4 linked regions of the Pelodiscus sinensis genome follow. The protein of the gene in region 2 purifies or fractionates together with the protein of the main gene of each other region. This does not show direct contact. Links are inferred from orthologs where the notes say so. Each region holds a gene or a part of one and is shown on either strand. Other genes may lie near its edges.

What was found.
Region 1: the proteins of COPG1 (region 2) and COPB2 purify together in Homo sapiens (co-immunoprecipitation; 8 studies listed by BioGRID and IntAct, counting the BioPlex papers as one, with this or other methods). This does not show direct contact. The link is inferred for Pelodiscus sinensis from reciprocal best matches to the Homo sapiens genes COPG1 and COPB2.
Region 3: the proteins of COPG1 (region 2) and ARCN1 purify together in Homo sapiens (affinity purification with mass spectrometry; 6 studies listed by BioGRID and IntAct, counting the BioPlex papers as one, with this or other methods). This does not show direct contact. The link is inferred for Pelodiscus sinensis from reciprocal best matches to the Homo sapiens genes COPG1 and ARCN1.
Region 4: the proteins of COPG1 (region 2) and COPB1 fractionate together in Homo sapiens (co-fractionation; 11 studies listed by BioGRID and IntAct, counting the BioPlex papers as one, with this or other methods). This does not show direct contact. The link is inferred for Pelodiscus sinensis from reciprocal best matches to the Homo sapiens genes COPG1 and COPB1.

The regions. Positions count from the first base shown.
Region 1 is NC_134720.1:11,280,738-11,287,803, forward strand, and holds the start of COPB2 (coatomer subunit beta'), read right to left. Parts: upstream 3,010-7,066; 5' UTR 2,858-3,009; coding exon 2,855-2,857; intron 1-2,854. UniProt on the Homo sapiens protein: The coatomer is a cytosolic protein complex that binds to dilysine motifs and reversibly associates with Golgi non-clathrin-coated vesicles, which further mediate biosynthetic protein transport from the ER, via the Golgi up to the trans Golgi network.
Region 2 is NC_134721.1:25,627,725-25,635,256, forward strand, and holds the start of COPG1 (coatomer subunit gamma-1), read right to left. Parts: upstream 3,023-7,532; 5' UTR 2,872-3,022; coding exon 2,835-2,871; intron 1-2,834. UniProt on the Homo sapiens protein: The coatomer is a cytosolic protein complex that binds to dilysine motifs and reversibly associates with Golgi non-clathrin-coated vesicles, which further mediate biosynthetic protein transport from the ER, via the Golgi up to the trans Golgi network.
Region 3 is NC_134736.1:861,760-869,247, forward strand, and holds the start of ARCN1 (coatomer subunit delta), read right to left. Parts: upstream 3,001-7,488; 5' UTR 2,847-3,000; coding exon 2,844-2,846; intron 1-2,843. Other genes in the region: IFT46 (intraflagellar transport protein 46 homolog), read left to right, coding at 3,388-3,405, 3,565-3,661, 4,182-4,261, 5,302-5,435, 6,512-6,586, 6,690-6,783. UniProt on the Homo sapiens protein: Component of the coatomer, a cytosolic protein complex that binds to dilysine motifs and reversibly associates with Golgi non-clathrin-coated vesicles, which further mediate biosynthetic protein transport from the ER, via the Golgi up to the trans Golgi network.
Region 4 is NC_134714.1:109,062,080-109,069,041, reverse strand, and holds the start of COPB1 (coatomer subunit beta), read left to right. Parts: upstream 1-3,961; 5' UTR 3,962-4,133; exon of another isoform or gene 4,134-4,137; intron 4,138-6,962. UniProt on the Homo sapiens protein: The coatomer is a cytosolic protein complex that binds to dilysine motifs and reversibly associates with Golgi non-clathrin-coated vesicles, which further mediate biosynthetic protein transport from the ER, via the Golgi up to the trans Golgi network.

The sequences.
Region 1 (7,066 bases), on a different chromosome or scaffold from region 2:
TTATACCCTGATTCTGCGTGTCCATCTATGAATCAATTTGTTCAAGAATTCCTCCTAAATAGTAAAAGCTAGAATCACCACAATTTGTTTGCAGCTTCCTTTCATCAAAACTTAAAGCAAGGACAGGGTTTTATTGTGCCAAGACAATGGGATGTGCATGGAATGCGACTGTTTGTGAAACACAAAGTGAGGAGGTGTGATAGCGAGAGTTATACTTACTAGTGACCAGAAGGGGATAAGTAAGCACCCCAGCTCCGGGGAGCAGCTGTTGGCTGGCAGCACAGCTCAATTATCCCTGGGGAGCAGCCACCAGATGCCTCTACCCCCTCCCCTGGGCCTGCTCACATCTCCCAACTCCCTGCTCTGATTCCTGCACCCCTTACACCTCAACTCCCCTACTCTGAAGGACCTGAGGAATGACAGGTAAGTCTTCTAGTAGAACTATAAAATAAATAATAATTCCTCAGTTGAAACATGCTAATTTAGTATGTAGAAGAGTACAAACAAGTCATCATCTGTATGAAATTTTAAGTTGTACTAGGGCTGTCAATTAATTGCAGTTTTGACCACTCAGTTAAGAACAGCATCCAAAATGAAATTAAGTATTTTTGGAGGTCTTCAATGACATTGACTTCAGTTACAACACAAAATGCAGAGTACAGTGCTCATCTTATAATTCAATTAATATATTTGCACTAATAGTATTTTTCAATTCACTACATAAAAATCACTTTAGTAGTCTCTATATTGTGAAAGCACAACTTATAATTTTTTTTGTTACAAAACTGCACTCAAAAATAAACAGTGTAAAACTTTAGCACCTACAAATACATTCAGTTCCATTGCTTATTCAGCCAACTCTTAAGACATACACATTTGTTTATATTTAATGGAGATAATGCTACCCACTTCTTAATTACTAGCCAATTAGCCTGTCATCAGATGGGATTTTCAGGTCTCTCCTCCGCTTTGGTCTTCTCCCCTGAGCCTCCGGTCTCTGTCTCTCTTGGTCTCTCTCCCCTCCTCCTACTGCCTCCCCCTCTCTCTCTCAGCTCTCCTCCGCCTCCTGCCTCTGTCTCTTTCTTTCTCTTCTCCCCTCCTGCCTCTCACTCTCCCTTTTCTCTTCTCCTGCCTCTCTCCCCGCTCCCCTTCCCTTCCCGCCGTGGTGTTTGGCTGAGTGCTGCCCACTCAGCTGGGACACCATGGGGGGGGGGGGGGCGGGGAGGAGGTCAGGCAGTGACGTACACGGCCAGGGGGCGGGGCCGTGTACATCACCGCCCCGCCCCCCCTTTCCCCTCCCACCGTGGCACTCAACTGAGTGCTGCATGCTCAGCCAGGCTGCTGTGGGGGAGCCAGCGGTGCAAGCGGCCATTTGGGCTTTCCCACGGTGGCTCGACTGAGCACGCAGCACTCAGCCGAGCGCCACAGCTGGAGAGGAAGGGGGTCGGTTCGGTGACGTACACGGCTCCGCCCCCTGGCCGTGTATGTCACCACCCACCTCTTTCCCCTCCCACCGTGGCACTCGGCTGAGTGCTACGCCACGGAGCTGGGCAGCGGCAGGGGAGCAAGCGATGCTGCATGGGGAGCACGGACCCCAAACGGCCGCTTGCCGCTGCTTGATCCCCCGCCGCGGGCCAGCTGAGTGGCACAGCACTCAGTCGAACACCACAGCAGGAGAGGAATGGGGGCAGGGAGGTGATGTACATGGCTGGGGCGGGGCCATGTACGTCATCGTTACAGACACTGGGCTACTATATATATCTGACAAGGGAAGAACAGGTATCAAAAGTAGAAAGTAAACATGTGGTCTCACTTTCAGGTGACATGTTAACAGGTAAAATTATCCCTGGAAGTGTAAATGAACAAGTTTGAGTGATTTGCTGAACATGAAGGAGGACAGGCCAGATTCAGCCCACCCAGCCATTAATCCAGCCCATAGCTCACCCTGCCCCACCACTCCACACATGCTAATCAGACCTGGAGGGCGGGAAAGCACGTGACATTTCCTCCCCCACCAGGGCGTGCAGCGCCAGAGGAAACACCAGCTGTTCAAAACAGCTGATGGTTTCTTTTAGGTGCTGTGCACCCCAGCTGGTTGGGGACAGTAGACATTGTTCAATCCCACAACCCATTAAGGAGCATACACAGCCTTCCTCCCCTCACCCGCAGGCAGTGCCTAAAGTACCTCTTCCACCCAAGGCCCATTTCTTCCATCTAAGGCCCCGCCCCCTGGACCTGGCCTGCAGCCACTACCAACAATGGTGAAGTGGTACTCCTACAAAAATTACTGCCCACCACTGGAGTAGCTCTACATTAGTTTATTTTTGAATGCAGTTTTTTTGTACATTATTCTAATTTCATGATAAATTCAACTTTCATGATCAAGAGATTGCACTACAACACTTAATGGGAACTGAATAAATATTTTTTTAACAGAGCAAAATCATGTAATAAAAATAAAGTGAGCACTTTTCTATTCTATTTTGTAACAGAAGTCATATTTGCAAACGTGCAGAAAGTAGCAAACATGCCAACTAAACAAATGGCCTTACCCGTCACTAACACCCAACGTTTAATCGCTTGACAGCGCTAATTGTACTGGCTCCCTTCGGCCTTTCACGCAACCTGCTGCAAAACCAGCCCAATAGCGAGATGGGCTGGGCTGATGCACCTCCTGGGACATCGCTGAGCAACCCCGGGGCGCGCGTTCTGAACCCTGAAGCCCGGCCCGCGGCCTCGGGGACAGCGCCGGCCTGCAGGAGCGGGAGCGCCCCGGCCCCCGACAGCCCCCCGGCGAGGGATCAGCTCTAGACACCCCGCGGGCAGCTCCCCTCGCCCCCCGCCGCGGACTCACCATGGCTCCTCCGCCCCCAACCCGGCAGCAGCTGAGACGTCGCTCTCCGACTCCAACTCAGTTGAACTACGTGGAGCTTCCGGCCCTACAGGTCTCGCGAGATAAGGGATAAAAGCGAGAACGCCGTACACAAGCGCTTCCGCATCTGAAACATCGCGAGGACGAGACTTCCTGTCCCCACGGTTCAGGACCAACGGAGACCAAAGTAGGCCACGGCACCAGCTTCCCTCAGAGGTGCTGTCATCAAGCCTTAGGAGCGGGGCCTGCCTGATTGAATTGCAGTCCATATGTGCCGTAATGCATCCTGGGACACGTAGTCATTGCACAGCGAAGTGAGACCAGCGGCCGTGGGCAGGTGCGCCGCGGCGCATGCTGGGAATTGTAGTTTCTATGCGGGGGTCTCCAAAGCGTCCCTTCTTCATCCCAGTTACAGAAGCGGGGGCATCGAGCCGCCGGCAGGGGACTGTTCACTTCGTGGCCGTGACCCCCGCCCAAGCGCAGAGCCTCGCACTGATGCTCCCCGCAGTTCTCTGGACATTAGCCTAGGGCAAGATGAGGGGCAAAGGGCCATTGGGTCAGACCAAAGGTCCATCTAGCCAAGCATCCGGTCTGCCAGCAGTGGCCAATAATGCCAGGTGCTCCAGAATATAATAGAGAGGCAGCCCTGTTAATCTGATCTTGCAAAAACAAAAGGAAAAACTATGCAGCACTTTAAAGACTAACAAGATGGTTTAATAGGTGATGAGCTTTTGTGGGCCAGATCCACTTCCTCAGATCATATTCTGGAAGAGAATTGGCATGACCATATATACCAAAGGAATACAATGAAAAAGCAAACACATTATTAAACTGACATCAGATTTAGTACAGAAGGTGGGGTGAGGAAGAGGGACGGAGGGAATAGCTATTATGAATCAATGTTAACTCTGGAGACACAGATCCACAGTTTAAGAACTGCAAAACTAAGCATCTCTGATGGTATCTTCTGGACTGAGCACTGAGTCTTATTGGGTACACTGAAAGATTAACCTAAATAATCTATACAGAACCTTCTGGAATCCCATAAGATTGGGTCCATAATCCATGAACTATTGGAATTCATTTACAAAACTTTTCTTAAACACTAGGGCTGTGTCTACACTGGCGCGATCTTGTGCAAAAGCGGCCGCTCTTGCGCAAAAACTTTCTGCCTGTTTACATTGGCCGTGTATTCTTGCGCAAGTAAACTGACGGTCTAATGTATGAAATCAGGGCTTCTTGCCCCAGAACTCTGATGTTCCCACTCAGGAATAAGCCCTTTTGCGCAACTGTTCTTGCGCAAGAGGCCAGTGTAGATAGGCAACATGAATTTCTTGCGCAAGAAAGCCCTATGGTTAAAATGGCCATCAGAACTTTCTTGCATCTCTTGCGCAAAAGCACATACCAGTGTAGATGCTCTCTTCTGGAAGAGTTTTTGCAGAAGAACTCTTCCGCAAAAGAGTTTTTGTGCAAGATCATGCCAGTGTAGACGTAGCCTACATTAATATATTGTTTCATTGTATAAAATTAGAATTTATAATCCCTATTCCATGTTGATATATCTTTGAGCTATAATGTAAATGAAACTATCTTTAGATACATTTTTCCTCAAAAAAAATTGTCAAAAAATCTGATTAAATAAAAATATCTGATTTCTTCTTTTTTTTAATTTGTTGATTTTTATCTACCCTGCTTCTTAGTCACTTGTCACTTTGGTTGTCTTGGTAACTTTCCACTGCTCCAAACCCCCAGCCTCCTGGTTTCCCAACTCTCATACCCTTCTTACTCTAACCATTTTGATCAGTTGTCAAGCTGTAACAATGACTCATCATTGTTCTTGGTATTGCAGAGATTTGACAACCCCATCAGCTCATAGAGGGTACACAGAAGGATATTGCCAATACAGCAGTTTTCATAGTAGTATAATGTCAAATAGAATTAATAAGTTATGCATATGTTTCTCGAATACATCAGAAACTAGAAGGACAATAAAAACCCAGGCCAATTCACAATTCAGGAGAGCTGATATATAGTATTGTAAACCTTGAAATGCTTATAAGTCATGAGAGCAGGAGAAACTGAAGAAAGAGAGCTAACCAAAAACATCAGTGTTGGAGAAAGAAGTGGAAGAGTGTTCTAAGGAGCATATGAGCATACACGAGATTTGTTTTTATCTTTGGGGAACTTAAGATCTTGCACAGAGAGGGAAGAAGACTTAAATAGTGAGTCGGAAGCAGCTGGTGGTTGTTGGATTGCCCATCCTCCTACTCTCCCCTAACCTCGGAGTTTCCACCACACTCAACTTATGTAGTCATATTTCCCATAATTGGAGATATGGTAGGAGTCACCACAACTGGAGTGCAATAGCCTCACAAAGGGAAAACTACCTTATAGCCATAATATCTCCCCTGCCAGATGAGTGAGTGTAGGATTCCATGGAATACAATATGATGGGGACTAATCTGGCTACAACTACTCAAGAGAGAGATCTTGGAATCATTAATAGTCAAAACTGCAAATAGAATGTTAGGAATCATAAAACCAGGGATAGAGAATGAGACAGAGAACATCTTATTGCCTCCATATAAAATCATGGTACTCATATCTTGAATACTGCATACAGATGTGGTCGCCTCAGCTCAAAAAATATATTGGAAAAGGTTCAGAAAAGGGCAACACAAATGATTAGAGGCTTGGAACATGTCCCATTTGAAAAGAGATTAAAAAGACTTGGACTTTTCAGCTTAGAAAAAAGGAGACTAAGGGTACATCTACACTGTAACACTATTTCGAAATAACCAGCTCTGTTACTAAATAACTTAGTCCGCATCTACACAGCAGGCAGTTATTTCGAAATAATGTCAAAATACTGTTAAGCTGGAGGACTTCTTACTCTGATTTCTGCAACCCTCATTGTACGAGGAGTAAGGGAAGTCGGAGAAAGAGTGCACTATTTCCAAATAAATGCTGTGAGGACTTTCCCTATTTCAAAATAAGCTATTTTGAAATAAGATACGCAATTGATGTAACTCAACATGCATAGCTTATTTCAAGTTTAGCCATGCAGTGTTGATACACTCCAAGAGGGGATATGATAGAAGTCTATAAAATCATGACTGCTGTGGAAAAAGTGAATAAGGAAAAGGTACTTATTCCCACAATATAAGAACTAGGGGGTCACCAAATAAAATTAATAGGCAGCAGGTTTAAAACAAACAAAAGGAACTTTTTCTTCACTCAGCACACAGTCAACTTGTGGAATTCCTTGCCAGAGGATGTGGTGAAGGCCAGGACTTTAACAGGGTTCAAAAAAGAGCTTAATAGATTCATGGAGGTTAGGTCCATCAATCGCTATTAGCCAGGATGGGTAGGAATGATGTCCCTAGTCTCTGTTTGCCTGGAAATGGGTAACAGGAGAAGGCTCATGTGCAGATTATCTGTTGTGTTCTCTCCCTCTGGGGTATGTGGCATTGGCCACTACTGGCTGACAGGAAACTGGGCTAGATGGACCTTTAGTCTGACCCAGTATGGCCATTCTTATGTTCTTATATTTTTGTGTTCTTAATACTTCTGGGGGAATGTTGAATAAAAAACTAAACATTCTGCACCCAATATTTTAAAGTTCTGCATATTTTATTTGTTCAAATGATACAATATAATCATGTCAGATTCAATTATTTTGGTAATTATTTCAAAATACCTATGAGCAAGTATGTCTAGCAATATAGAGAACAAAAAAATCCAGGAAATATTCGTCAAATTACTTACTAGGAATATTAATACAGAACTTTGAGTAATAATTAATTTAAATTACAAAATAGACATGTATTTTCTGCACTCCTCAGAAGCCAGTGCAAAGACTTGGGGGAACAGGAGGAACAGAGAAGCTGAGAGAGATGGAAGTAGTGGAAAGGAGTCTGAGTGTGAACTTGGAGGGCAGTTGGATGTAGGAGGGAGAAGTATGGTACTTTGGGGGATAGGAAGAGATTATTAGGGAGTTAGGGAGCCTCCCCCCATGCAGACCCCTACCCTTCCCCATTTATACAGGAACCTGTTGCTGTGTGTCCCTGCATCACCATCCCTCACCATATTTCCCTGCACTCTGACTACAATTCAGCTCCTGGCTTTATGCTGTCACTAACTCCTGTGCCCTTCCTGCAAAAAGTCCAGTGGTTCCTTTCCTGCTCTTATCCT
Region 2 (7,532 bases):
CTCGGGGCTTTGCCTGAGAAAAGCGCCAGTCTAGACAGGGATCTTTCGGAAAATAAAGCCTTTTCCGAAAGGTCCCTTATTCCTGATTTTAAGAGGAATAAGGGACCTTTCGGAAAAGGCTTTATTTTCCAAAAGATCCCGTCTAGACTGGCGCTTTTCTCCGGCAAAGCCCCGAGCCGGAAAAAAGCAGCAGCCATGTTTATACAAATGAAGCGGGGGATATTTAAATCCCCCGCTGCATTTGCAATTCCGACTTGTCTAATCTGCATCTCTTTTCTGGAAAAGGGGTGCAGTGTAGACACAGCCTTGGAGAGTCTATAAGTCAGTTTCTAGGCTGCTTTTTAACACGTGGTTTGACACGTACGATAATTTTTCTCATATACATGGTCACGAGGCTCCCCGTGTTTTATTAAAATTGGTTTATGAATATGAATATGCATAACTCAAAGGCATTTTCAGCAAAATGCATCATGTAACATTTTTAAAGTTATAATCTGCTAAATGTGTATCTTCTATTTCAGTGCATGTTTCATTCTTGTATGTGAAGTTAGAAATATGAAATGTAAACCTGTTTTATTAATGTAAGTCTTCTAGTGAAAACCATTAATGGTATTTAAAGAAACTTAATGGCCCAGCACTCAAGACAATGATCTGTAAATGAGTATGTTTTTACGTTTAAGTCCAAACTGTGGTAAGTCCTAGAAACCTGGTGCTGGAATCCATCTTGAATAAGGTATTTTTCCTTGGGGTGGGAAAATAAAACAAAGGGTTCCCACCCTGGGAAGTTTATACAAAAAAAAAAATCAGTCTTTTGTCATCAGATAGGGTTGGGGAGGCAATTTCAAAAGCTAAGAGGACACACAGGAAGAAACCTGAAAACAAAGTAGTGATGGAAAATCCATCAATTAGTTGATTAAACTAAATTTAACATCCACTAGTCAATAAGCAGGAAGCCGCAACGGGATCTGCAAGCAGGGAGTCAATTAGTCGATAAGCAGGAAGCCCACCCGGGAGCTAACCCCACTGCATCTCTGCCTTTTAAATGGAAAGGCTAAAGCGCAGGAGAGACCCAGCATGAGCCAGGACAGCTGATTCATGACTCATGCAGGATCCCCCTCCCTCCTTGCTGCACACCAGTCTTTTAAATGGATTAAGAGAGCTTGATGGCTCTTAATCCATTTAAAAGCTAAAACCAGGAGAAGGGACCCAGGGTTTTGGTCCTCTTTGTGGCTATGTTCCTGTGCTATCAAAGCCCTAAAGCTGAGTCCTCCCAGGGCTGAGCTGGTTCAACATCTTTGTTGCTCTGCTAGGGAGCTATGGCCCCAACTCTGCGCCTGGGCTGGGGGAGAGCTTTGGCCCAGCAGGGCACGATGGTGGAGAGCCCCAGAAGACAGATTGGCAGGCTAAGTGGCATGATCAGCATATCAGGTGACAGTCCCGAGGGGACCTCGCTGATATAACCTATCACATACATGTTAAATAGTCAGTTTCTTACTGTAAGTCCTGTATTAATATACAGAACAGCTAGGGTTACTGTGTCAAGTGCAGGTGGCACAGCTCCCTGAACTACTTCACCATCCTGAACTGCCATGAGAGCTGAATTGAGTTTCTCCATTTCCAAATTCTGTGGTCCATCCTCCAATGCTGTGTGGCACTCAAATACTGTGTAAAGGACATGGATCAAGTGTGTCCAATAATAATTTCCGCAATACTTATCCAATCCCCACTTTTCTTTTTATACTGTGTTCATCTCCATGCCTCCTGAGTCCCAACCCCTACTTTTGTATCAGTGCTACTCTCCTGCAAAGATCAGGACACCAATATTTTCACCAGGAGAAACACTTGTCTCCTGCTTCACATCGACATCAAACATCTTGAACAGCAATCTACGCACACACACACACACACACACACACACACCCCAAAATGTAAGCTGCACACACACACACACCCCAAAATGTAAGCTACACACACACACACACACCCCAAAATGTAAGCTACACACACACACACACACACACACACACACCCCAAAATGTAAGCTACACACACACACACACACACACACACACCCACCCCAAAATGTAAGCTGCCACTAAAAGGATCAGAGGTTACTCTATAAACTTGCAATTGGTACATCTGATACATCAGCCATATATTTTTAAAGCTGTCCACACATATGCTGGATGGGCCGGTGACCAGTTTGGGGGGGACAACGAGTCAAGACATGGGGAGGAAGGGAAGAGGAGGCAGAGCATGAGGGGACAGAGTAGTTAGGGTTTGGCTGGAGATCTATGTCATTTCAGGTGCATCCTCCTTAATCACCTGCCCTTCATTGTACATCTCGCTTTGAGACATCAGTGCAGTGCAGTGCAGTGCAGCGGGGGGGAGGGGGGGGATAAATCAACGGAAAGCAAGTTGAGGTGATCCGGGCAGAAAATGAAGGATTATTTGGCGGGTTGTTCCTGTGCTATCAATGCCCTAAAGCGGAGCCCTCCCAGGGCTGAGCTGGCTCAACATCCACCCAACTCCAAAGTTTCCTGGGGCGGGGGCGGGGGAGGGGGGGTCTGCAACGCTCGCAGGCTCCGCCAGAGCCACTGAGGAAGGCTGTGGGCAGAGTTAAGGGGGCCGCCTGGAAAAGTCACTAGCTGGGGGGCAGCCCGGGAAGGGGCCGACACCCGTGGCAAGGGGCTGGACGGACGCTGACCAGCAGAGCCCAGCCCCGGAGCCGCGGCGCGTTCGGAAGGAGAGCCCGGCCGGGGGGGGGGGGGGGTCCTCTACCCCGCTGGGCACGGCCGCCCCGCCCCCCCGCGGCGGGCCCGTCCCACACTCACCCGCCTCCTCATCCTTCTTATCGAACTTCTTCAGCATCCTGCCCTGCGCCGGGCGGGGGGCGCGCGGGGCCTGGAGGGCGGGGGCCGCACGAGCCGGGGGGGGGTCTCTATCCAGCACCTCCACTTCCGGCCTTGGCGCTGCTTCCTGCCAGCCTGTCACCGGGACAGCTCAGCCGGACAGCGCCGCGCACGCGCGTTGCGTGAGGGAGGTTGGTCGGGCTGACGTGGCTGCCTGGACCACCGCCCGCCCCAGGGGAGGAGGCGACAGCGCTGGGCGGGGCAGTGGCCGTGGGAGGCCCCGAGCCTGTGGGACAGTGGATGGGGGAGACGGGAGTGTCTGAGGGGCTGAAGAGCCTGCGGCGCAGCGACTGGGGGCAGGGCAGTGACTTGGGGGCACAGCTTGTAGGGAAGTGACGGGGCAGGGCAGTGATTTTGGGGCACAGCTTGTAGGGCAGCGACTGGGGGCAGGGCAGTGACTTGGGGGCACAGCTTGTAGGGCAGCGACTGGGGGCAGGGCAGTGACTGGGGGCACAGCTTGTAGGGCAGCGACTGGGGGCAGGGCAGTGACTGGGGGCACAGCTTGTAGGGCAGCGACTGGGGGCAGGGCAGTGACTGGGGGCACAGCTTGTAGGGCAGCGACTGGGGGCAGGGCAGTGACTGGGGGCACAGCTTGTAGGGCAGCGACTGGGGGCAGGGCAGTGACTTGGGGGCACAGCTTGTAGGGCAGCGACTGGGGGCAGGGCAGTGACTTGGGGGCACAGCTTGTAGGGCAGCGACTGGGGGCAGAGCAGTGACTTGGGGGCACAGCTTGTAGGGCAGCGACTGGGGGCAGGGCAGTGACTTGGGGGCACAGCTTGTAGGGCAGCGACTGGGGGCAGGGCAGTGACTTGGGGGCACAGCTTGTAGGGCAGCGACTGGGGGCAGGGCAGTGACTTGGGGGCACAGCTTGTAGGGCAGCGACTGGGGGCAGGGCAGTGACTTGGGGCACAGCTTGTAGGGCAGTGACGGGGCAGGGCAGTGACTTGGGGGCACAGCTTGTAGGGCAGCGACTGGGGGCAGGGCAGTGACTTGGGGGCACAGCTTGTAGGGCAGCGACTGGGGGCAGGGCAGTGACTTGGGGGCACAGCTTGTAGGGCAGCGACTGGGGGCAGGGCAGTGACTTGGGGGCACAGCTTGTAGGGCAGGGACTGGGGGCAGGGCAGTGACTTGGGGGCACAGCTTGTAGGGCAGCGACTGGGGGCAGGGCAGTGACTTGGGGGCACAGCTTGTAGGGCAGCGACTGGGGGCAGGGCAGTGACTTGGGGGCACAGCTTGTAGGGAAGCGACTGGGGGCAGGGCAGTGACTTGGGGGCACAGCTTGTAGGGCAGCGACTGGGGGCAGGGCAGTGACTTGGGGCACAGCTTGTAGGGCAGTGACTGGGGGCAGGGCAGTGACTTGGGGGCACAGCTTGTAGGGCAGTGACTGGGGGCACAGCTTGTAGGGCAGTGACTGGGGGCAGGGCAGTGACTTGGGGGCACAGCTTGTAGGGAAGCGACTGGGGGCAGGGCAGTGACTTGGGGCACAGCTTGTAGGGAAGCGACTGGGGGCAGGGCAGTGACTTGGGGCACAGCTTGTAGGGCAGCGACTGGGGGCAGGGCAGTGACTTGGGGCACAGCTTGTAGGGCAGTGACTGGGGGCAGGGCAGTGACTTGGGGCACAGCTTGTAGGGCAGCGACTGGGGGCACAGCTTGTAGGGCAGTGACTTGGGGCACAGCTTGTAGGGCAGTGACTGGGGGCAGGGCAGTGACTTGGGGGCACAGCTTGTAGGGCAGTGACTGGGGGCACAGCTTGTAGGGCAGTGACTGGGGGCAGGGCAGTGACTTGGGGGCACAGCTTGTAGGGCAGCGACTGGGGGCAGGGCAGTGACTTGGGGGCACAGCTTGTAGGGCAGCGACTGGGGGCAGGGCAGTGACTTGGGGGCACAGCTTGTAGGGAAGCGACTAGGGGCAGGGCAGTGACTTGGGGGCCCAGCTTGTAGGGCAGCGACTGGGGGCAGGGCAGTGACTTGGGGGCACAGCTTGTAGGGCAGCGACTGGGGGCAGGGTAGTGACTTGGGGCACAGCTTGTAGGGCAGCGACTGGGGGCAGGGTAGTGACTTGGGGCCACAGCTTGTAGGGCAGCGACTGGGGGCAGGGCAGTGACTTGGGGGCACAGCTTGTAGGGAAGCGACTGAGGGCAGGGTAGTGACTTGGGGGCACAGCTTGTAGGGAAGCGACTGGGGGCAGGGCAGTGACTTGGGGGCACAGCTTGTAGGGAAGTGACTGGGGGCAGGGCAGTGACTTGGGGGCACAGCTTGTAGGGCAGTGACGGGGCAGGGTAGTGACTTGGGGGCACAGCTTGTAGGGCAGCGACTGGGGGCAGGGCAGTGACTTGGGGGCACAGCTTGTAGGGCAGTGACGGGGCAGGGTAGTGACTTGGGGGCACAGCTTGTAGGGCAGTGACTGGGGGCAGGGTAGTGACTTGGGGGCACAGCTTGTAGGGCAGTGACTGGGGGCAGGGCAGTGACTGGGGGCACAGCTTGTAGGGCAGTGACTGGGGGCAGGGCAGTGACTTGGGGGCACAGCTTGTAGGGCAGCGACTGGGGGCAGGGCAGTGACTTGGGGGCACAGCTTGTAGGGCAGCGACTGGGGGTAGGGCAGTGACTTGGGGGCACAGCTTGTAGGGCAGCGACTGGGGGCAGGGCAGTGACTTGGGGGCACAGCTTGTAGGGAAGTGACTGGGGGCAGGGCAGTGACTTGGGGGCACAGCTTGTAGGGCAGTGACTGGGGGCAGGGTAGTGACTTGGGGCACAGCTTGTAGGGCAGTGACTTGGGGGCAAGGCAGTGACTTGGGGGCACAGCTTGTCGGGCAGTGACTTGGGGCACAGCTTGTCGGGCAGTGACTTGGGGGCACAGCTTGTAGGGCAGTGACTGGGGGCAGGGCAGTGACTTGGGGACACATTTTGTAGGGAAGTGACTGGGGGCAGGGCAGTGACTTGGGGGCACAGCTTGTAGGGAAGTGACCGGGGGCAGGGCAGTGACTTGGGGGCACAGCTTGTAGGGAAGTGACCGGGGGCAGGGCAGTGACTTGGGGGCACAGCTTGTAGGGGAGTGACCGGGGACAGGGTAGTGACTTGGGGGCACAGCTTGTAGGGCAGTGACTGGCGGGGGAGCAGTGCCTGGGGGAGCACAGCTTGTAGGGAAGTGACTGGGGGCAGGGTGGTGACTGGGGAAGGACACAGCCTGTGGAACGATAACCCATGAAGTTAACATTTCTCTGGACATAGGTTATTTCAAGTGTTGTGTGTGTTAATCTCCTGTTTCTCCATGCGGCCGGTTTGGGCCACAGGAACACTGTTTTCTGCTGAAGCTCAGTGCTGTAATTAAAGGGAGAATAACTTCTTTTAGATGTGGGATCTGGCAACACACACTAGATGAGGTCAGGCCACGGCATCCCTTCTGCACAGTGGTCTGCTCCACCAGACCCCTGTAGAATTAGGCAGCAAGGCTCAAAGTGGATGATATTTCCAGCCTATGGTGAAAGATGTGAGACACCTTTAAGGTGTATATTGAACCTACAGCTTTTGTGAAATGTTAAATCTAATCCTTTCTGCCATATCTACAGGGGACTATTGGAGAATGTATTAAAGAAAATCCAATGTGATTAATGAAGGGGCCTTGGTTCATGTTCTTTTCTGCAGTAATACACTGTGTGTTGTCTGTTGCCACATGTGAGCTATCACTGAGGTCAGAGTGGCTTTTGGGGTCATTTCTGCAGTCCTATTGTGCCCAGTTCCTATTTTCTTTCTGTAAGGGCCAGTGAGACACCCTGAGTACTCTTTACAATCATACTCTGTTCTGAAGCTTCAGGGAGTAACCGAGTTAGTCTGTTACAGAAAAAAACAACAAATGGTCTGGTAGCACTTTATAGACTTAACAAAATATGTAGATTCTCATGATACCGTCTACATGTTTTGTTAGTCTATAAAGTGCTACCAGACCATTTGTTGTTTTTATACTCTGTTCTGTTATTCCAGCTGTTGATGACACACAGTTGGATTTAAAGGCATCATTTCAGGAAATAACAGTTCCTCTCTGAATAAAGTTTGCATTCCCAATCAAGGTTTAAATGAGGAAAAATAAATGTTTCTCACTAGTGATATTAAATGGTTAACCAGTAAGTATACCAGTAAGCAAGAGACTTACTGATAATGCTTACTGGCTAACCAGCCCTTGCCAGTGATCACTGCCAGCAGCCTACCCTGCCAGGCCAGACTACTCCCAGCAGTGGAGGAGCTGGGCAGTGGGACTCCATGGCCACAGCAAGGCTTCTCAGCTGCAGCTGGACTGGAAGAACATGGCCAGAAAGCCCTGAATTAAAATGCTAACTGATTGAGTGCTAGTGTTTAACCAGTTAACTGTTTTAACTTCCCTTTTTCCCATGTTGAGGGTTTTTTTTTTTAATAATTACTTCTCTCAGGTTAAAAGGTGTAATCCAGTGCACGAACCACACCAAAGAAGTAAAGTATTTCTGCCCCACCACACACAATAAATCTAAGAGCGAGTAGACTGCCCAACAAAGACAATTGCAGCTGGTGCTACATCTGGAATATTTTAGCTAGGCACTTCAAACTGGAAATAAAGTGCACTTAAAAAAAGTGAAAGTAATTAACTATTTTA
Region 3 (7,488 bases), on a different chromosome or scaffold from region 2:
AACCCAAAAGCATGTATGTCAGGTTTGAGCATATTCCACTGTTCAGTCACAGTGGACTTTTTTCAGGCTTTGGACATTGGCCTGTTAGTACTGATTAGTGCGTCAATACGGGAGACTCAGAAAAGTTAACACATCCTTAGTCTCCACTTTGCAAGGATCTAGAGTATAAAAATACTGTTTTAACATATAAAATGTCCCAGTGATCTGCACAATCTAAGGTCACTAGATCAAGAATTTCAAGAAAGTCCTCACTCTTTGTACAGCTATGCTGAACAATTGCATATGGCAGCTTGCATATCTTGTAACTTAAAAACAAATATATAAACAAACATCAGATTTAATTGTTCGGATTTATTTGATTAGATTTAACTAACATTGCAAGTCTAACACCTCAATATTTAACTAGGTTTTAAAAGGTTGGCTCCATTTATTAATTCACAATTTTGTTACTTAGGAGATAGTACTTTCTGGGTGGGGAGAGCACATTACAAACACCCCACATTAAAAAAGTAAGAATTTTCAACCTGCCATAATTTCTTGAGACTACCTTGGGAAAGCAAGAGATACGCCATGTTAAAGATACTTAATATCTTATGCTGCATTGCAAATATTTTGATTCTTTTTCACAGGGGACAAAAATTAAATTAGGTATTCTTGGTTTGGAATTTGTTTTAAAGGCCAAGAGGTTTAAAACAAAAAAGACAGTATTTCTTCAGGCAACACATGGTCAACCTGTGAAACTCCTTGCCAGAGGAGGTTGTGAAGACCAGGACTTTACCAGGGATTAAAAAAAGCTATATAAATTCATGAAGGGTAAGTCCATCAATGCTTATTAGCCAGGATGGTAGGAATGGTGTCCCTAGTCTCTGTTTGTCAGAGACTGGGAATGGGTGAAAGAGGAGGGTTTTCACTTGATGATTGCCTCTTCCGTTCATTCCCTCTGTGGCACCTGACATTGGCCACTGTTGGAAGACACAAGACTGGTCTCTATGGTCTGACCCAGTATGGCCATTCTTATGTACATTGTTCTTAGCCTCACTAAATTAAATTACATATTCTCCCAGTAATAAAAGGTTATAGCAAAGCAATTCCTCATTAAAGGAGCTGTGAAATGTGAATAGTTAAGAATTATATCAAACTAATCCTCAAACACCACAGGATATTTGAATAGAAAGAATTTGATATTATGTACAAATCTGAAACTGAAACAAAGTTATATAGCACTTGATTTTGATGCATTATGCTTACTAAGAAAAGAGTCAAATTATCTCTCTTTTTTTTTTTAAAACACAGTTCAAATATTTATCCCAGTAAATTCAAAGACCACAAAACTAGCTGGAAAGAAGAACAATTATTCAAAGGAACAACCCCAAAAGGTACATGCTCTTTTAAATTAATCTGTCCTTGTGTGCAAATTATCCCACACTGCACTTTGCTTGCTATACTGTCATGACAGTGTGAAAGGTCTAGGTTGGATATTAGGAAAAACTGTTTGACTAGGAGGGTGGTGAAGCACTGGAATGGGTTACCTAGGGAGGTGGTGGAATCTCCATCCATGGAGGTTTTTAAGTCTCAGCTTGACAAAGCCCTGGCTGGGTTGATATAGTGGGGATTGGTCCTGCCTAAAGCAGGGGGCTGGCCTTGATGACCTCCTAAGGTCTCTTCCAGCTCTATGATGTGTAACATTTTCCTCTATATCATTTAACAGGTCTTTTCTCTAATCAAAGTTGTTTCTCCACCTCTAACAGGGTATGAAGCTGTTTAACACTCATTTACTAATTTATCAAGAAATGTAAGCAAATTATACTATCCTTGGCCACAAAAACCACATGCTTGAAGTTGGGTACAAGCCTGTTACTACAAAGAGTCAAATGTAATTTACTGCAATTAGGAGCCAATCTAGCCTCTTTGCAATACAAAGAGCTACAATGTGAGTTCATAAAAAACAGAATACAACTGATACACGTTTAAATCCCCTACATGAAGCTATATATATGTATATATTTGTATCGTTCCAAGCTGATATATAGATCATATAGATGTATTGACCTGTTTATACAAACTCTGGACCAATATTAAACTGTAGGATTAGTAAGCAATTTTTCATGCCCACTTGACATGACTTAAAGGAACCTGATATTCAGACAGTGTGAAGTAATCAATCTCTGAAAGTAAGGCTCTTTCAACTGGACAAGCAAAGTAAATGTACTTGGACTAGATTTAAAACCCCCCACAAATGCAGGGTCACAAGGTCTGAGGTCACAAGATCATGAGGACAACTGGATTATTTTCCCAGATATATTATTGATTCATGTAATTTTCGGGAAGACCACTTAACTGCTGTGCACCTCAAGTTTTGCCAACGTAAACTTAAGATAATATCTGCACAACAGGGTTATGCACGTTAATACCATTAGCAATAAAGTACGTTGAACTACAGTATTCTCACACGTTTGTAGACAGGTTTTAGCCAACTGTGTGTACTGCTGTGATCTTACACATGGATCTACCCAGCCCATGTCCAGCGGTCAGGTTAGACTCAGACCCGTCCACACGGCCGTGTGACCAAGCCCGGGAGCGGCGAGGTGCCACAAGCCTCTCTCCGCCGCAGGGGGCTGGCCGCTTGGCAGGGCGGCAGAGGTGTCCCAGGCCAGGCCCGGGACCTGCCCGGAACCGGCATCGCCGGCTGCCCGCGGAGAGGCCCCCACAGCGGGGCAGGCCCACGCGAGGCCCCGAGAGCCACACGCCGGCGGGCGGCCCGAGGCCTGGGGCGAGCGGCCGCCGCGGCAAGGCGCCAGGCAGGGGCACGAAGAGGCCGGGCGGGAGCGCGGCCCGGCGCTTACCATGGCGGCGGAGCGTGACTGCGGCCCGGCGCGCTCAGTCTCCCGCGGCCTCAGCAGCGGCCGCCGCGTCTCCCTCCCGCGGCCCCACAAGATGGCGGCGCCGAGCCACGTCCCCAGCCGGAAGCGCCGCCACGCACGGGGGCGGGAGCACCTCGCTCCTCCCCCGCCCGCCGCGCCGCGTGGGTGCGGTGCTCTGAGCCCCGGAGACCCCGCCCCTTGCTGGGGAGGCCCATGCGCGCGCGAGCAGGGGCGGGGCCCGCACGCAGGTGAGAAGCAGAAACACCCCCCCCCAGACTGCGCGTTCCAGCCCGCGCTCCGACAGCCCCGCGCACCTGTCATTCTTTCCTTGCAGTGACGCGGCCCGGCCGCTAGGGGCCGCTGCGCGACGCCCTCCCCTTTCCACAGGAGAGGAGACGCATGGACGTGACTCGATCCGGCCGCCGTAGAGCTGGGGCGGCAACTCTCGCGAGAGCCAGTTTCCAGGGTGACGGGACACAGGGGGTGATGGAGGCCCGGCCTCGGGCAGGGCCCTGAAAGCCGGGACATGGCGGAGGCCCTGCAGGTGACTGGGGGCGGGGGTTGAAACCGTAGCAGGGGGCGGCGCTGCCCGGGTGCTCTGGGTCCCGAAAGGCCCGAGCACCCGCCGGGCAGCCCCAGGCCGCTCCCGGCGCTTTGCAGTCGGCAGCGACAGTGACCCGGACGCGCTTGTCTTTGTCACTAGACCAAAATAGTGGAAAACCAGCCCTACGACGAGAGCCTGGAGATCAACGACTCCGAAGAGGTGGCCAGTGTCTACACCCCAACTCCACGGCAGCGAGGTAGGGCCGCCGCCTCCGCTCCCTCCCTCCCTCGCCGCCGCCGCCGCCGCCTCCGCTCCCGCCCTAAATGCCGACGGGCAGCTTGAGCCTCGCTGCTACAGCGTCTTAGCCTCCCCCAGGGGATGAAAACTCAGTTCCTCAAAACTGGAGGGGAGCAGGCTCGTTGGGATTCGCTGGACGCACGGTGCTGTGGGGGTAAAGCAGAACACGCGTTTTAAATACCAAAGGTGTTCCCTGGGGGTGAAAAAGAAGCTTGAGAGACTAGATGCGGTAAGGACAATTGTCACAAACCTAGGCGTGCACGTGGTTGGTGGAATAGGGATTTGGGCTTTTCCACCGTGGCTAGCCCAGCTGCAGTCTAGTCTAGTTCAGCCTCATGCTGCAATTGAGTAAACATGACTGTTAGAACTTCAGTGTAGGGCCTGTGTAGATAGGTGCCTCAATGTGATAATCCAAGCTGCAATCTCACAACCAAGCTTGGGTAGCATATATACAGAAACCTTCTTGATGATCTCTTCAGCAGGTCCTAGGTCCACATGCTCACAGCTCAAAAACATGGCTGATAACAGCAGTGATGAGTATGATGAAGAAATAAACAAGGTATGAGGTTGTCCATGTTCTTCTTTGCTGATGTAGTTGATCACAGCATTTTGTAGCCCCCATCTACCTGGGACTTGTTATCTGTATGTTGAGTCCTACTGGGGAAATTTCTTAATGTTTTGTGATTATTTTTAAGACCCATTTTGAGTAGAAAGAAATGTAATTGCAGTACTTTTTGGCAAGACACATTATTTGTACTAGAAATAGAAGGTAAGGAGGGGGTCAGATTTCTTTTTTCTTCAAGTAAAACAGATGGAACAATGTATATGAATTTGGGAGAATCGGTCTAGAAGGGAATTTTCACATCATGGTAGCTGATACCATCCAGTGTGGATATAATGAATACCAGGCCCACTGACGAAGTGGGTCTTTGCCCACAAAAGCTTATGCTCCAATACATCTGTTAGTCTATAAGGTGCTACAGGACTCCTTGTTGCTTTTACCAGGCCCACTGTTGTTCAGTGGCTGAAGTGGGATAAAAAGAGGGTTGTCAGAGATCAATAGCTTACACCCACGTTTGGCTGGAAACGTAGGGAGTGTTTTTTACAGTTTAGAGAACATACACTGACTATAGGTCAGGACTCCTGAGTTCTATGTCCAGCTCTGTACTAATCAGTTGTGTGGCTTTGCGTGAGCCAGTTTTCTCCTATCTATTTCAGTTTCTCTGGCTGTAAAGTGGGATCATAGTACTTACTGCCTTGGAAAGGGCTGAGTACTGTTTATAAACCATTTTGAGATTCTCTAAAAAAGATAAATTCTTGTTTGTTAGAACTAAATATTCCTCCCCCCCCGCCCCATTGCTGAAACCCATGCATTTGGGTCAGACTAAGAGCAGTAGTAACCCTAGATTAATTGTCTGTGCTGGCATTCCTTTTCCATACCACCCAAGGAAGTTTCTTTTTCACACAGCAGTGCCACCCGTATGTGGCAAACTTTGAACAGAGGGTGTTTTTCTGTTTAGAATGAAAAATGGCAGAGCTGGGAAATGGGGCTGTTGGGAACGTCTGTTGCACCATAACTTTGGTTTTAACATGACCTAGGAAAAGAAGGTAGCTCAACTGGCCCCACAGCGAGGATTTAGTGAGAACGAGGATGGAGAGGATGAGGATGATTCGTCTGAAACTGACTCGGACGATGACGATGATGAAGAGGAGCATGGAGCCCCTTTGGAGGGGTATGAAGGACTCTCAATTTATAAGAACAGTTAGAGGAACCACTGGAATTAAAGTCAAGATCTCCCTTATGAGAGAGACCTGTTCCATCCTAACAGGCCAAATGAGTAATGTTATATTCTGACAGTACTGTGCAGATGTGTCTTTAGATTAGACAGTGTGGGATAAGGGGTTTAAAAGCTGAGACAGATAATATACAGATGCAATGGCACAGTAAGTTTTCAGAGTATCAGCCCTGAAAAATGAAGATACAACGATATAGCTATATTAAGGGGGGAGGGTAGGGTAGAGGGAATGCCATTGACCGTGTGGACAGGACGAGTGTCACTGGGATTTGACATGCATCAGTAAAGATGCATTGTTCATAGATAGAATTGTTCTTAGAAAACTTAAAACTTGGATTCCTAAGCAAGATTCTGAAGTGTTCATTGACACAGGGAGAATTCTTAATTTCAAGTATGCCTGTTAAGTTTCCTGCCTACAAATACCTGCTCATGAACATTTTGAGGTAGCATAGAGCGTAGCCAGGTAGCCTGGCAAAAACTCAGACTTAGTATGATAAACTAGCAGTAACAGAAGGCAGGGATATTAGTGGACCCATTAATATACTCAAAGCATTGTGCTGGACAAAGACAGAATGCAATTGTCTGAAAGAGAGTACAGATGTCTAGCATGCAGGCTAGCCTGCCTCAAGGGAAGTAATTGTTTTATCATTACATTGTATTGTAATATAAGTTTGTTGAGAGTCTGGTTTGCTGCCCATCACTATGATATTATTAATTAAAACTCCAATCAAGAAAGGGGGTAATCGGTGTTGTGAGTGGTGTTCTTATGGTGGAAACATCTTCAAAGAGGAAGAATTTGAAGCATTTCTTAAAGATGTCAAACTCTGGATTCTTTTGATCTCATCTGTAAATTTGTTCTGTAGCCAGATCCAGCCCCCAGTATGGGTATACTAGGCTAAGGAAAGCATTCAAGGCCCTCTCCTCTTTTAACACACCCCTAGGGGATCAGATACAAGTTCTCCATTAAGTTAATCTTCCAGAATCTGTTGGTCTTGAATATCTCTTTTCTATAGTGCCTACAACCCTGCAGATTATGAGTATCTACCAGTGTCTGCAGAGATTAAAGAGCTCTTCCAGTATATAAGGAGGTGAGTATAAGGAGTCTGTGTTGGAATGTCCTTCGGGTGGTTGAAATGGTTACAGAAAGAAATACTATTTTCCTGGATGATACTTTGCTTGTGTTATTCTCAGGTACACTCCACAAATGATAGAGCTTGAACACAAACTGCAGCCTTTCATTCCAGATTTTATTCCAGCTGTTGGAGACATTGATGCCTTCTTAAAGGTACACAGCTTTCAGATCCTTCCCTCTTGTGCACCCATGAAAACAATATTAACTTAGTGAAAAGTAGCATTTGCTTTTCTCTTTGTTGGAACAGCAGTAATCTCAGCACATTGGGTGCTGGATTAAGAACCCAAACCCACTTATGGCTCTCGGTGCCCCCTTATTATTTGAGTTGTCCTAGAAAGCTAGGATTAACAAGACTAAAAGAGGGTGGAGGGAGTTCCCCCCCACTCTGCTGCCTCTATCACCCCAATCAAAGCACACTTAGTACTTTTTTTTTCTTACATTGTTGTAGTTACTATTAAGTGTCCCTCAGGGATCCAACTCCTCCTCTTCAGCTTCACTTCTGCTATTCAGGTACATTCAGTAGAGCCTTTTGTCTGATTGTCCAATCCTCCTTTTCTTGAATTTTGCCATCTTCTAAGGGTTTGTTTGTTTTTTTCCAGAATTTCATTCTTAGTTTTACCTCTGAATTATCCTTCCAGTATGTCTGAGATTTGGATTTCTGTCCCACGTGACTGGAACACAATAATTTCTCTTGTTTGCAGTTTCATACTGGATAATGCGACTGATTGTGGAAGCTGAATGAGTGTGTAAATGGGATCATTATCTCTGGTGGATATCAGGTCTCCTGAGTGCAGCTGTAATGAAGATGAATGAGCTCTGAATGCTCTCTGGCTTTCTATAATTAAATATTTCTGCTGA
Region 4 (6,962 bases), on a different chromosome or scaffold from region 2:
GGGTAGGAATAAATGGTAAGTTTTCAGAGTGAAGAGAAGTAGCTAGTGGGGTTCCCTAAGGGTCTATCCTGGGACCAATCCTATTCAACTTATTTATAAATGATCTAGAGAAAGGGAAACAAAATACAGGACTATGTAGCACTTTAAAGACTAACAAGATGGTTTATTAAATGATGAGCTTTCGTGGGCCAGACCCACTTCCTCAGATCAAATAGTGGAAGAAAATAGTCACAACCATATATACCAAAGGATATAAAATGAACACATTTTTTTAATTGTATCCTTTGGTATATATGGTTGTGACTATTTTCTTCCACTATTTGATTTGAGGAAGTGGGTCTGGCCCACGAAAGCTCATCATCTAATAAACCATCTTGTTAGTCTTTAAAGTGCTACATCGTCCTGTATTTTGTTTTAGCTACACCAGACTAACACGGCTACATTTCTATCACTAGAGAAAGGGGTAAATGGTGACATGGCAAAATTTGCACATGATATCAAAAGTCTCAAGATAGTTAAGACCAAAGCAGACTGTGAAGAGCTTCAAAAAGATCTCACCAAAGTAAATGACTGGGCAACAAAATGGCAAATTAAATTTCATGTTGATAAATGTGAAGTAATGCACATTGGAAAAAATAATCCCAACTATACATACAATATGATGGGGACTCATTTAGTTACAGCTACTCAAGAGAGATAGCTTGGAGTCATTGTGGCATGAGAGGGCAGTGCCCAGCAGCTGGAGGGAGCTGGGATGAGCCGAGGCTTCCCCGGACCAATGGATGGAGGCAGGGTGGTGGTGGGAGAAGGGGGGGACAGGGATTGCTGGGACTAAGAACTGGGGAGGAGAGAGAGAGGAGAAAGCCTGAGATTGGTTGCGAGAGGGCAGTGTGGACTGGAGTGGCTGTCAGGCCAGCTGAGTCTAGGGCAAGGAATCAGATGGGCCCAGGCTGGGAGCCAGGATGGTGTGTGTTAGGGTAGTTTTGACAGGAAGGAGGGAAGGAGATAAATGGAACAAGCTGGGCAGGACTCCTGGGAGTGGTCCGAGTATGTTGGGCAGGCTGGAATCAGAGAGGCGGGTGGGGGGATCCTGCTGGGTGTGCTGGGCACTGACTGTGTAATCGCCTCATGGGGAAGTGTCAGTGGAGCCTGAATCTCCTATTCCTTTGCCTCACAGGGACTTATTGAGGAGCTGTCAGGCGCTATCCTTACCAACTCCCTCACTACTGTGAGCAGGCTCAGGTACTAAGCCCTTCGCAACTGGCTCCCTAACCACGGTGCTGCCCCTCCCACTCTGAGGCTCCCTCCCAAGCATGGTTTCTCCAGCAGAAGGGGCAGGAAGGTTCCTTGTTTTCTGCCTGAACTCTTCTTTTTGCTCCAATAATGCTATGGGGTTCTTGAGGAGAGGATCCCTCCCAGGTCAGATACAGGAGAACAGCAGAGTCAGGCCATTGTCTGTCTGGGAAGCCTTCACATCCCCTGTGTCAGTGCCTCAGTTTCCATTTTTGCCTGCCTGGGCCTGTTCCCTGTGGTTTCACATCCAGGTTGGTGCCAGTCCCACTCCTGCACTGCAGTCTAGTATCAACACCTCTCTCTTGCCAGCATCATAAATCCTGCCCTGGAGCCAGAGCTGGAGATGTACTTCCTGAGAGCTGCCCTGCATGCCGTCTTCACCTCAGGCAGGACACCTCCTAAGGGGAGAGAGATCTTCAGCTCCTCCCTGCCAGGATCAGAAGTGACCTTTGGTCCCTGCTCCCTTGATTGGCTGGAGCTCCAGAGCTAGGGGTTGGTGTGCAGAGATGGAAGAAGATGCAGTGTTGGATCCTTCCCTCGAGGGGCATCATGTTACCCTCCCAGGAGGACTTCTTCCTTCCTTCCTTACATAGCAGGCTATGTTTTGCCTAGGTGCCATCCATAGCAGCTTGGGTCTTCCCTACTTTGTTACCTACGAGGCCCTCCACAGATTCCTCCTAAGGTCATGGATTGAGGAGCCAGCTGGCACCCTGCCCTGAACCCTTGTTAATTGCCTGCATTGGGATCTGAATGAGCCAGGCCAGTACTTTATAGAGACCCACATCCTGTGGCAGGTGTAACCCAAGTTTCCCGAACTCTGACCCATAGCTCTCCTTTGCTTTGCAGAGTCTGAACCTGAATGCCAGGCTGGGGAACCTGCTGGCGAAGTCCTCGGCACAGACAGACCCTGTGGTAAGGCAGAGAGCAATTTTACCTTAACTCTGAGGAAGACTGGCAAGGAAAGACTGGAGGATCTATTTCCCACTTTGTCCTCCTAGTTCAGCCCCCAGTGGACTGTCCTATGTCAGGCAATTGGTGCAATGCACGTGTTTCACGCTCCTCGTTCCTTAGCCTCATCTCTGGGACTTCCCCTCTCTGGCTGCTCTGACCCAAGACTGTCTTTTGAGCTGGGGGTGGGAGTGGAGCACAGATGTACTGAAATCATTGGAAACAGTGAGCGGGGCTGGACAAAGGGAGGGACATTCCTAGGCCAGCTTGGACAACTAGGTCCCAGCTAGGGTTGCCAGGTGTCTGGTACTGAACCGAACAGTTCAGTATTTTCGCCTCCTGTCCGGTAAAAAAATCCAGAAAATACCGGACACCTGAAATGTCCTGTACTTTCTGATTTTTTTCCCGGCTAGGAGGCGAAAATCCCAGGCTATCCAGCTTAATACAGAGAGGTGCTTACCGGATTCTGCAGGTGAACTGTTCAGCCTGACACAGGGAGGCAAGATGGTGAGCGGCCACCATCAGCCTGTTAAGGCCAAAAAGCCTCACCATGCATTTCTTAAAGGGGCCACACTCTGTTTTTTTGTTTTTTGCTTAACAACTCTCAGGGGCCTTTTTTTGGTTCAGTATTTTTTCCAAAACCAGCTGGCAACTGTAGTGCCAGCCTGGCTCAGGCACAGGGCTCGCTCCTCTGCTACAGCCTCACAGCTCTGGGCATGGAGCAGGAGCGATGCAGTGAGAGGGGAGCGATGCAGTGAGTGATGCAACTCCTGGGGCAGGGAGGGGAACAGCCATAGGGAAGGGAAGTCACTGCCCAGATGAAGTGGCTGGGGCTACAGTCAAGCCCAGCAGTGCTGCAATGGGGCAGCTGTGGTGACACAATTGGTGACCGATCAATTTTTCTATCAGTAGTAGGTACCACCAGACATCCTCTTTTTGCTTACTTAGCAAATTCTGTCAGCCAAGATCCCCATCTATCAGCCTCTGCTATTTGCCATGGGTTCAAGACTGCCCTTCACATCCTCTGGTCCAAGACTCCCCTTCTGATTTTTCTTCCCCAGGCAGGCCAGTTCGTCCATTGTCACTATATCTTGCTTGATCCCAGGGCCTGCCCACAACATTTTGGGACCTGAAGCAGGACTCTCAAATGATGCCCCGATGCCCCCTCGCTTGGGCCAAAACTTTGAAAGGTCTCAATTCTGCCTTCTTCCTGCTCTACTCTGCCCATGGTACTGCAGACAGAATACACATGCATCAGCAGCAAACACAATTTTCTACATTCTAGGTCCTAGTGGTGCCCCCTCACAGTCTGGCACTTGAGGCAGCCACCTCAGTTCGCCTCATGGTAAGGCCAGCACTGCATGATCCCCCCCAGACAAGTACATTTCTGCCCCCTACTCAGACCCTGCTCACCCACCGGCTGCGACGTGGCCCCTTTGCAAACTCTCTAAAGAGCAAGCAAGGGCACGTGCCAGGGAACCTGCTCAGTTCGGATGCGCATGCTCAGTACCCTCCTAAGCAGGGCCTTCGGGGCGGGCGCTCGGAGTCGCAGCGTTGGTGTGAGTTGGAGCCACGCCCCCCGCGCTCTGATGAGGACACCCGGGGGCAGTGACGTGGCTGCTCAGCTAGTGCCTGCCTGGAGACCGCGGCTGGAGGTCGCGGTCACGTGGTGTGAGAGCCGCGCATGCGCGGGGCTGTATTCCCCCCTCCCTCCCCCCACACACACGCACCGGAACCAGGCGACTTTGTGCCTTGCTGCGCGCGGAGGAGGCGTGTCCTGCTGCGGCCGCCGTAGTACCGATGTGGCCTGTCGCGGGGAGTGGTTCCACGTCAGCCACCGCCGAACGGGCAGAGACGGGGCTCCGGGGGTCCCGCCGCGGGCAGCACTGGAGGCAGGTACAGCGCTTCCAGGGGCTCGGGGCGTGCTGCGGGCCGTGGTCGGAGAGCGGCCCCCGCCCCCTTCCGGAGCCGGCGGCCTCGCTCCGCTCTGCCGGGGAGTCGGGCCAACGCCTGGCCGCGGGTGCGAGGGCGGGTAACCGGCGCGGCCCCCGCGCAAGGGGGTAGCGCGCCACGGAGCCGGGCCCTGCGAGGTCTGCTCGCGCCCCGGCTTGCTGAGGCAGCGAGGTTTAACCGTCCTGAGATTCGTTTTGCCCCTGTGGGCCCGCAGCAGTTACCCGGGCTGCCCGCAGGATCCCACGCCGCCTGCCCCAGCGCCTCGCACGGGCCGGGGCCGAGGCTGCAGCTTTGCTACGAGTTCACCTCTGCTGGGAAGCGTCGTTCTCTTGGGGCTGAAACTCTCCGTGTCAAGTAAAATTGTGGAGAGTTTCAGCAAAGACCCACTCAGCTGGTGTGTGTGTAACTTCTGGGTTTTAAACGTGCTGCTTGTTGTGATCACGTAGCAGTATCGTTAAATCCATGGCGTTACGGTGCACACAAGGACAATGACAAGTTGTAGCTGTAGGTAGCTATAATAGAGGTTATGAAGTAAATCTTTGTTTACTATTCTTTTTAATAGTACTTTGTGTGCTATTTAAGTTCCTCATCTTGCAAACATTTGAATAACTTTGTGCAGGAGTATTCGCTTTGAAGTTAATGGCCCGTGCTTAAAATTAAGTCAATATGAATTTTCAGGTTTGGGGCCATGGTATTTTTTTTTATATATAGCCATTCTGTGGTATGTTGACATAGAGAATATTATAGTTAGGAGTGTTAGTGTGTAATTGAAGTCATGTGATTGCATCAAAATTTAGCAGTTACATGACTATTACATAGTCCCTGGGGACAGAGCTGGCAGTCAGTGCACTCTGGCCCTACTCATGGGGAGCCCCCTGCCATCCTGTGTTGCTGCCTCTCAGAAGTAGCAGTATGGGGTGGCAGATGGGAGTTGGTCTGCAAGGGGAGCTGGCTTAAAAACAGAGGCAGGAGCGTGGGACGGTATACCCTGTATGCTGCTCCACATCCCACAGAGCAATCTCTGTCCACAGCAAGCCTGGATGTGCCAGGACAGGACAGGACAGGGAGGGTGGGTGGGGGGCAAGCGACTCCACAGAGCCAGTGCTTCTGTCCTCGTCCCCATGCCCCGTTGCCTCTGTAGGAGGCAGAAAGGAGGGGCAGGCAAATCCATATGCGTATTTGGATCCTGCTTGCCCCCTTCACCCTCGGTGCTGCTGCTGGAATTAGCAGTGCAGGGGCAGGGATCCGTGGAGTCGGTGCCCACCTGCCCCCCCTTGCTGCCTCTGATACAAAGGCAGCAAGGGGGAGAGAATGCCTGTAGTCAACAGGATTAACCAATAAGCCTTGGTTTATCAGTTAATCGTGTAGTCATTTACATGTTGACATCCCTAAGTATAGTTACTATCTGAAGTGTTTCATTTTTTCATAAAAAATAGGAAAATGTGAACTAAAACATGCGCTTTAAAATTTTGAACTAATATTGTCGCTAGTTTTCATCAGGGAATAGTTACTTAGAAAAATGACAGTTTTTGAACTGATGATGTAAGCTGGAGATATAAAATCCTGTTTAACTGGTTAATTATATTGTTTAACCAGTTAACCGATTTAAAGAGGGGTGAGTGGGGGGGCCCCTGTCTGCCTCTGGGTGGAATGTCCCCTTCCCTTCCCTTCCTCCTCCTCCCCAGGCAGAGGCTGCTTCAGTCCAGTCAGAGCAGCCCCTGGCTGTAGCCTTCCCACTGCAGGCAGGGGCTGCATGGGCTGGGATGCCAGAACATCCCCTGCTTGTGGAGGTCCAGGGTACATGTCAGGCAGGGGCTGTTCTGGCATCCTGATTGGAGCAGCCCTTGCCTGTGGGGTGCACACCAAAGGCAGGGGCTGTGCTAGAGTAGTCCCCTGGCTGCAGTAGGCAGGGAGCTGCTCCACCACTGGTAAGCCTCAAATCCCTATTATAAGCAATTATAAATTTACCTTGCAATCTTGATATGTTTTAGCCTGTGTCTTCAGAGAGTGCTAAAATATGTGCAGTTGCTGAAAAACAGTTATGCAGCTCTGTAATTCTAGGGAATGGTTTAGGGCATTGGGGCTCAAGCAGAGTGCAAATACCCTGGGGGGATATGCAGGAGAGGAAAAGTCAACTCATACGAATATTTGCCTACTTTTTCAACATGATACATAAAAAGCACTAGCAATATCAGTACAAACTAAATTTTCATACGAACAATGACTTATTTATACTGCACTATATGTGATGCACCAAAACGTATTCCAATTGATTTATAATTGGATGGTAAAAATAAAAGAGCAGTTTTTTTACTAACTGTTGTGATGCTTTTGTATTTTTGTCTGATTTTTATAAGCATTTTTATGCAGTTATGAAATGTTTTATATTAGCACCCTGTTTTATATACACTAATCAACAATACTTGATTATGCTGTCTATGAAGTCTCACATGGGTCTCAAGATAGGGTAGGGGGAGCAGAACATTTGTATTAGATGCCATGTAAAAATTCTCAGCACTTGCTGCATATTTTGTTGCACTTATCATCATCATAAGCTCAAAGTTTCACATTTCTCAAAATGAGTAAGTTCCAGCAGGTGAGCTCATTGGGACACAAGATCACATGGGTAGTTGACATTGATGTAGTCCATTATCATAATTCTGATGGAGCTTTTAACTTTAGCAGACTTTCAGACTTATCACAGTACCCTTAACCATCTTGATGCTGCCTTTTCTTTGCTTTGGAGTGTTTGGAAAAGATATCCACAT